Regions from separate parts of the Mus musculus genome. Here region 1 is reported to be linked to region 2. Evidence: microRNA targets listed by miRTarBase, many of them from high-throughput screens and not tested one by one. Region 2 holds a microRNA gene; the other region holds the end of a gene's coding sequence.
What was found. The annotated mature microRNA mmu-miR-1901 reads CCGCUCGUACUCCCGGGGGUCC and lies in region 2 at 1,513-1,534, shown strand. An mRNA with a match to its seed (bases 2 to 7 or 8) in the 3' UTR can be bound and repressed. Matches are read on the target gene's strand: a 7mer-m8 pairs with bases 2 to 8, a 7mer-A1 pairs with bases 2 to 7 and ends in A, and an 8mer does both.

Region 1: miRTarBase lists Nudt5 as a target of mmu-miR-1901. Seed matches in the 3' UTR shown: 7mer-A1 at 2,842-2,848.

Annotation. Positions count from the first base shown.
Region 1 is chr2:5,867,160-5,871,509 of GRCm38, reverse strand. It overlaps Nudt5 (nudix (nucleoside diphosphate linked moiety X)-type motif 5), which reads right to left. Exons shown (of 10, transcript NM_016918.3): 10 at 2,774-3,421. The coding sequence ends at 3,312. Sec61a2 (Sec61, alpha subunit 2 (S. cerevisiae)) reads left to right here. Exons shown (of 12, transcript NM_021305.4): 12 at 1-533. Among named protein-coding and RNA genes, the nearest start is that of Gm13199, 6.4 kb to the right of the region's middle.
Region 2 is chr18:11,837,555-11,841,904 of GRCm38, reverse strand. Mir1901 (microRNA 1901) reads left to right here and starts at 1,467; the gene lies at 1,467-1,544. It overlaps Cables1 (CDK5 and Abl enzyme substrate 1), which reads right to left and starts at 2,631. Exons shown (of 10, transcript NM_001146287.1): 1 at 1,372-2,631. The coding sequence starts at 2,099. Gm6277 (predicted gene 6277) reads left to right here and starts at 2,528. Exons shown (of 4, transcript NR_045421.1): 1 at 2,528-2,724.

The sequences.
Region 1 (4,350 bases), not on the chromosome of region 2:
TGTTTAAAAATAAGTGCAGTGCAGATTGCCACTTTCCAGTATTTTGAGCTTCCCTAATGAGTTATGGAGCATTTATATCTAATGTATATTTTAGATAATTTTTATACTTTTTTAACTCATCAGCCCCACCCCTACTTGATTCATCCTATCCCCAAACTGCCACTCAGCCTGGATGGGCAAAAATCAAGCATTGAAGTTATTTCTGTCACTGGACACAATTGCTTCCAATTCCCTTTTCTGCTTTTCATTTGTCCTCTTTTCCTGGTGACAGCTACGAGTGCTGTCCAGCTGTATTGGCCATGCCTTCTACTCCAATGCCCCCAAGTATTTCCTCTCTCCCCTCGTCCCCAAAGCAAGACCCAGTTCTCAAGCAGTGTCTGTAGTTGAGTGGAAGTGAGCAATGAGTATTCATGCAAGGACTTCATGTCTGTGATATGCATAGCAGGACCCAAGTGTAAACAGTAGACAATAAACTTTATTTAAGAAAACTGTTGCAGTTGTGATGAAAAATAAAGAGATTCCTATTAAGTGTTCTCTAAGAGTATTTCTGTAGGTTCACTGTATTTCTACAGAGCAGATCTGCATATGCTTGAGAGGGTCAAGTATGGTCATATTTTAGTTCTAAATTACTCAATGGCAGGAGCTAGGGTCCTTGGGAAACATTTTACTCTTCATTTGACACCACCCAGTTCTTTGTACATACTTTATTTTACTTATTTTCAAAAGTACAGTTTTCAGTAGGAACAGGAGGTAGGGCTAACTTAGCTTGAGCTAAGGTCAGACACTGGAGAACACCCTGTATTTTAGAACCCACTTTCTGAGTTTTCCAAATGAACGAAAAAAAGTTGTGAGGAGTGAAGACACCAGATGGCCAGCTCCAGATCTGGCTCTACCTCTGAGGTACAGACCCTGGTAATGAAATGTGCTACTGACACGTCTAAGATGTAGCTGTCACTTCTCAGTTACACTCCCACAGGAAAGAGACCCAGGGGCCAGGGAAGATGGGGTACACCTTGTATCTCGGCCGATACTCAAGGCCATTTTTTTTTATTGCACCTGGTCCTATACCTGCTCTATGGAAAGGACGAATGTGTGGAGCCTGTGTCTTCATTTCAAAAGAGGGAAGGAAACGACACAGTGAAATAGATGTCCTAGGGAACTTACAGGCAAAAGTTGGTATATTTGGGGAGACAGGGCCATGATTATAAACACAAAAGAAAACATTGGAAGGGTCAGAGTCACAGGGAAGGCTACTGTGCTATACTGGGTGTTAATTTTCACACTCATTAGGAATGCAGACTTGGACTACAAAGTTCCAGAATTATTTCCATCCTTAAGAAGTCCAGTATAAAGATTTGTATAAAGAGCTTACATTTTTGTGCATAAAAATGTGTGTCGGCAATAACACTTAGCGTCTATACCTACTGTACCTGGGAAAAGCGCTTTTATAAGGTTCCCAGGATCTACCCTGGACCTAGGTTGCAAACGTGTTGAGCTGGCCAACAAGCATCATGCCGACTGCTGCTGGTGGCTGAACTGACCTTTCTTGAGCTGATGTAATCAGCTGAGGTAATCACAGTAGCAGAGCTCATCAGACCAGAGCAGAGCCAGAACACTGGAACAACTCCTGGGTGAACTTTAGGCCTAGCATATACTAGAAACCATTTCTGCATTTCTTGTGTAGTCTGATTGTTTCAGATAATTGGCTAATATACCTGCCTATACTCATGGCTACTGACATCCATATATATGTAGAATCCATGTTAATCTTTTTCCTATGGGTTTAGTTTTGTAAAACAATATTTTCGGAGGTAAGGTTAGGAAACTGAAGTGTGTGCACACTTGAAGGAAGGATCCCGAGTTTTCATATATTTTTAATATATTAAGAATTAGCGGGGCATGGTGGCGCACGCCTTTAATCCCAGCACTCCGGGAGGCAGAGGCAGGCGGATTTCTGAGTTCGAGGCCAGCCTGGTCTACAAAGTGAGTTTCCAGGACAGCCAGGACTATACAGAGAAACCATGTCTCGAAAAACCAAAAAAAAAAAAAAAAAAAAAAATTAAGAATTAACTATGTTCACTATTGAAGCATTATCTTGGTACACTTTTAGGAATGAAGTGGCCTTATGAGAATATTAAATACAGTTTAAAAATTATTTCTGAGGGCTGAAAAGATGGCTCAGCAGGTAAGAGTACCAACAAACTGTTCTTCCGAAGGTCCGGAGTTCAAATCCCAGAAACCACATGGTGGCTCACAACTACCTGTAATGAGATCTGATGCCCTCTTCTGGTGCGTCTGAAAACAGCTACAGTGTACTTAGCTATAATAAAAAATGAATCTTCAAAAAAAAATTATTTCTGAGACATAGAGTGTCATAATGTAACCCAAACTGGCTACATTTATGATCCTCCTGCCTCAGCCTCCAACGGTGGATTATAAGCATGTACCACAAGTAGCTACACTTTGACCACAAATGTTATGCTGTATTGATTTTACATCTACTACCCAAATGAATCCCATATAGTACATTAATTAGAATTAGGAGAAACTGGTAAGTCCCTACTGGGGTCTCTCTTTTAAAACTCTTATTTTTGCTGGGTGTGGTGGTGTGTGCCCTTTAATCCCAACACTCAGGAGGCAGAGGCAGGCAGATCTCGGAGTACAAGCTGAGCCTGGTCTATAGACTAAGTTCCAAGACAGCCCCAGGGCTGTTACACAGAGAAACTCTTTCTTGAAAAACAACAACAACAAAAAAACCCCCAAGTCTTCTTTTGCTTGCCATGTGTGGTGCTACACATCTTTATTCCCAGAACTTTGGAGAGGCAGAGACAGACAGATGAATCGCTCGGAGTTCAAAGCCAGCCTGGTCTGCAAAAGAAGTTCCAGGCTAGCCAGGGCTACATGGCGATACCCTGTCTTAAAACAAGACAACAAAAACCCAACCTAATTTTTAAATGTGAGCCTAATAAATAGCTATTTGCAGACTTCAGTACATGATTTTAGGAATTATGGGTAGAAATAGCTGACCTAATTGGGAGCTTGAGTCTATTCCTGAGAAGTACCCTCACCTTCTAGACCAGGTGAGTTTAATAAATTTAAACATACCTAACTATACACTCATTTCCATGAGTATTTAACAAATTTAAATGAAGGTTATATCCTCTCTGTAATTATAATTCCATACCACATGCATCTGTGCTGCTTTTACGAAAAAAGCTGATTTATGACCTACATTGAACTTAATTGAATACACTGAATAGTGAAGGCCGCATGGTTTCATTTACAAATCATGGCCAGTGTCCTCCTTGGCCTTAAAATTTGAGGAAGGGCACTTCGAATGGCTTCGAGTTGGCGTGTTTCAGAGCCAGACCGTAGGCGTAGACCTTGGCATCCACTGTAAGGTGTTGTTCTGCTCCCAAAGCTAAAGAAGCAAAGATGACAGTTTAGAGACTGCAGACAGTGAGAGGAGTGTAGTCAATCACTGTTCACACTGTATGCCACTTGCCAGGACTAGGTGCTGGGGACACACTATCTTTAAAATTAGAGTAAAGGATAAAAAGTAGCAACGTAGCAGATGACTAATCAGGCTCAGTTCTCAGCCACACTGGCCCAGTGTCTCCTGCTTTCCTAGCCAACTGGGAAAAAGTTCAAAACTGAACGATTCTCTAAGTCTGGGTTCATGTCCTAGCCACCTATGAATGGCAGGAGTGTTGGCTGCCACTCTGTTACAAACTAACATTGAAGTATTGATTAGTATGTTTTGAGTATACTGAAGTTAGGTAAAGTGGTTCTTTTTTCTGAATATCCCCTTGGAAGACCAGAGGGGAAGTCAGGTGGATATAGAGAAAGAATTTTTAAAAAGAATATTCTATAAATAAAACATATTATTTAAGCACCTGGAAACAAGGTACTTTGTCTATATTATCTGTTTAATTCTTCTCATGCATCCTCAGAGAGAGGGATTTACTCTTGATTTAGGAAAATGAGAGGCTAGAAGCTGATAAAGAATAATGGTGACACAGCTCAAACCCTGTCAGGGCCATCAGATCATTCATTGGCTATACTGCCTAACATTGGTTGCCACAGCTTTTCTGAGTAATTGACATTTAATTTGGCTTTGAGTACTGAGATTAATTTACCTCAGGTCTAGTTTTTGAAAAGGTGGAGAAATCGAAGCTGTCTAGGAATGTGAAATCATAGTTTTTTGAAAGGTATTAACTTTTCAAACAACTAGATATTTCAAAATCGAGCTCTCTGCTTAAGTGAAGCCATAGCCACTGGTGGGGTGGGGAGCTATGAACTGCTCTCAGTGTTTCAGATAACAAATACCTCAAGTTATTTTATGTCAAT
Region 2 (4,350 bases):
CTCTACACCTCCTGAATGAGTTTCCTGGAGGACATCCTATTTCCAGTGCATCGGCCCTCCAGGAGACTCACTGGCTTAGCACAGCACCAGTTTATTACAATGCCTATCATAACCCTATGCTGGTCTCCAGGGCATGTGGTAAGTTAAGGCCGTTCTGCTGGCCCAGGGCTGCCCATTCACCACGGGAGATGCATACTGTGACAAGAAACACCAGAGCAGGATTGTTGTACCCAGTATCACTAACTCATCCGTGCAGTTAGGGGGCTGCTTCTCCAGACTGCACACCCCTGCCCAAGGCCCATGCACACTTGGACTAGAACATTCTGCAGTGGCTCGGGTCTAATTTGATGCGCTGAGAAGCTAGCAAACCGGTGTAAAGCCGGTTGGTCCTTCTGTTATTTCATTAACCAAACAAGTTAGGTTTTCCAACAGGCCACAGGGAGCATAAACCTCCTTCACTGGGAAAGCAATGGCAAGAGGCCGGTCCCCCTACCCACCTAATGCCCACAGAACAAAGGCCGGGCCCTATCCTTTTAGAGGAAACAGAGGTTTTGGTTCCCTAACTTAATGATAATTAACTAAGGTAGTCAGTGCTATAATTTCTCAGGAGGCTTTATTAACTAATGAGGAAGGACTCCCGCCACAGGCCCGCAAGAGCCCCACCTGGACTTCTTCCCAGCCTGTAGGTAGTCTCACTACCCCACACAGAACCAAGACCACTGTCTTAGCATATAGCACTTAACTCCAGCTAGTTCTCCAATAAGCATATCTTGCGTTTTTTCTAAGATATTCAAACCTGCAGATAACGCGCACAAGCATACAATAAGAGTGTCAGGCCAGTTTTCTCGGAATGGAAAAGTCGTAGGCCACATTTCCTCTCTGTCCCCACACTCCAGGCCTGAACCAAGGAAATGCCAAAAAAAAACTTTCCATTTCTTAGGAAAACATGATTTCCCGGGCTCCATAAACTTTCCAGAGGGGTTCCCACGTGTCTGTTACTAGTTGGGTCTCCTGAGCGCCGCCTGCCCCGGCCCCACCCACTGCACCCGGCGGCCGCTCGCCCGGAGCTGGGGACGCGCCTCCGGGTCTGGACCGGTTTTCAGGAAGCTGGTGATCTCTCGCACCGCTTTTTAACCGCTTCTTCCAACTCCCAACTCCCTGGCCAAAGCAAGAGCATGGTGCGGCCGCTCTGCTAGTGCCGGGTTCGTGCACACTCCCTGGGCCTCTTCCCCTTCCAGATGCCCTAGTGGTTTGGGATTGTGTCCAGGAGCCCGGGATCTAGCCAGGAGCAGGAAGGTGGGAGCGACCTCAGTGAGGTTCCTGTCGTCCAGACACAGCAAAGCTAGGCGTGCGTGTGTCCATGAAACTCACCTGGACCTCTGCAGCTGCTCCAAGGCGCTGGTGCTGCCGCCCTGGCCTGACTGCTCCAAGGCGCAGTAGTTCTGCGAGTTCTGCCTGGAGAAGGCGATGGGCAGGATTCCCTGAGTGAACGAGTTGAGGCGGCCCCGACTGCCGCTCGTACTCCCGGGGGTCCCGGAGCCCAAAAAGCTGGCCGATGGCACCTGCACGTTGGTGAAGGCATCGTCCTCCTCCAGCTCCTCCTGTCCGGCGCCTCCCGGCCCGTCAGGCAACTGCAGCTGAGCACCGGTGACAGCTGGAGCTGAACGGGGCGGCTGAGATGGCTCTCCCAACACCCGGGGGACCAGAGACGGCGGCAGCGGGCAAGGGCTGGAACCCGAGCCGGCGGTCCACGGCGCGGCCGCGGTGCCCGGTGCCGAGAACGCGTTGCAGCCAGCGGCCAGCAGGCTGAGCCGAGCCCTTGCTCCGGGCTTGGTCCCGCCGCCCTCCTCGCCGCCGCCCCACTCGTGGTCCTGCAGCGGAGGCCGTCCGTCCAGAGAAATGTTGGTGAGGAAGGACAGGGCAGCCTGGCGGCGCCGCGGGTCCATGCGCGGCTTACGAAGAGGTTCCGGCGGCGCGGTGGCCGGAGGAGGCGGCGGCGGCTGCACCCCGCTGGTGGCCGCGGCGTCCGTGCTGCCGCCGCGACTGCTGCTGCTGCTGCTGCAGGCGGCCGTGCCCGCGGTGGCGGTCGCCGCCGCCATTGTGTCCGTCTGGGGCGTCAGTTCCCCGGTACCCGAGAAGCGAGTGGCGGGTGCCGAGTGCTAAGCCGCGGCCGCGAGCCCCGGCGACCCGGGCTGGGCAGGGCGCGGGGCGCGGGCGGTGTGCGAGGCGGTCCTACCCTCCCGCGGGCGGGCCATGCTCGGCCCTGGGCGTTCGGGCGCCGCTGAGAGCCACACGCGCCTGGCTCGCCCTCCGCGTCCCGGACCCACGCGCGCCTGGCCGACCCTCCGTGCCGCGCGATCACGGGCTCCTGGCCGGCCGGTCGGTATTTATAAGTGCGCGCGCCCCGCGCTCGCGCTCCGGAGCGCTCTTTGCAATAACACAGTATCACGTGTGGGGAATGAGACCTGGGAGGAAAACAAAGCCGCAGGCGGAGACCGCAGCGGCGGGAGGCGACCGCGCAGGAGGCGGTGAAAAAGGAGGAGGGAAGTAGAGCTCGGCGCGTGTCAGGGCGGGGGCTCACCGGGCCGGTCCCCACGGTTCCAGCTATTCCTGGGGCACGCGGAAGCCAGGTGCTGGAGGCGAGCACGTCACCTCTGTACGTTCGAGCGGAGAACCGCGGGTGTCAGTAGAGCCGGATGAGCCGCAGCCCAAGCTTGTGCTCGGGTAAGAGTTACGGGGCGATCACCTGGAGCCTTTGCACCCGACCCAGTAACCAAATTTGGTGTTACCCATGGGCCTGGACACACCGGTTCTTGTTAACAGATACACCTTCCTATGTGGACATCCCCACCGAAAGTGTTGCTAATCACTGGGATGTGACACCACTATTTCGCAGACCCAGGGGGCGGCTGCCAATATAAATGTAAAGGAGCCCACCTAGTTGCCTGGATGTGTGAGCACCTTCTAAGTGGCCCAGCTGATTAATATACACACCACTGGTGCTCTTAGCAAAGGACAGACGGCATTTGCCCTGAAAATGTAATGGATTTTCTGTGAAGATCTGAGCAGGTTAGAATAATCTTACACTCAAATGTCTGCAAGTCTTTTATTCCTCTATAAACGGGGATTGATAGACTCATTTGTTTCGTCAACGTCTGTTTGGCCCCTGGTTTTATGTTCCAGAAAGATGGGTTCCTGCCTAGGGACACCGTGACTCTGGGTCTAGGAAGACCCACCCCACAACCCCAACAAATGGTTTTAGGAAGAGCAACTGCGGGGCTACCCAGCCACTTTCCAAAGACCCCTGCTGAGTTCTCTAAGGCCTGGGCGACTTATTAAATACTGTATGACACAATTGTCGTCCTGAATTTCTGCGACACCTAAGAAGCCTTACGAAGAAGGCTTCTCTAAGGGAGAAGCAAAGTGTTTAAGATGAACGGATTAATTTAATTAGAGGTTTAAATTTAGCCTTGGAGCTAATGGGTAATTCTACATCGAAATTCCACTCCTTTTCAAGTTCAGCAGAGTAAATTATGTAGCTGAGAGCAAGTATACACGGCTTGGAGATGTGCAGCCAGCCCAGAGTCGGAGATAGGCGGGGTTTGGGTTACATGAACAGGGATAAACAGGTCTCATGGCTGTTTGTATGAACCATTGTTTATATTTAATTTTGGGCCATATTTAGGCCTTATGAAAAAGCAGAGGCCTGTCTGCAGCAGACTCACTAGTGACCAACTGAATTTCATCAGGTTTTAAATACTTTAACTACTTTGAAACTTCAAGTCACTTTATTACAATTGACGTAATTTACCTGATCGCTGGCCAAGCTTTTTGTTTTATTTTTTTGAAAATAATGTTAAGTGAGACTACAATTCTGCTCCTGTAAAAGAGTACACACACACATATATACTATTTTATGACACCCCTCCAATAAAGGATGTTTTCAACAAACACGAGGGGGAAATCACTAACAATCTTATCATCTATGGTAATATTTTTGTTTCTATCTTGAAATATCAAGAAAAGAACAGTGACAGTCTTTGTATTATAAAATATATATATGAAATATATTATAATATAGATAAGCACTATTATAATATATGACATGTTATATAATATATATTTTGTATGTTTATAAAATTTTTTCCCTTTTGGGGGTAGTATTGAGGACTCAGGGTTGTATGTATCCTAGGCAATCCTCCATCATTGAGCTATCTCCCCAGCTCTCTTGTTCTTAAATTTTGAGACCAGGCCTCTATAGCCTCAAGTGGCCCTGAACTCACTTTGTAGTATAGACAAGCCTTGAACTTATGAGCCTCCAGCCTCACTTCTCAGACAGCTAGGATTACA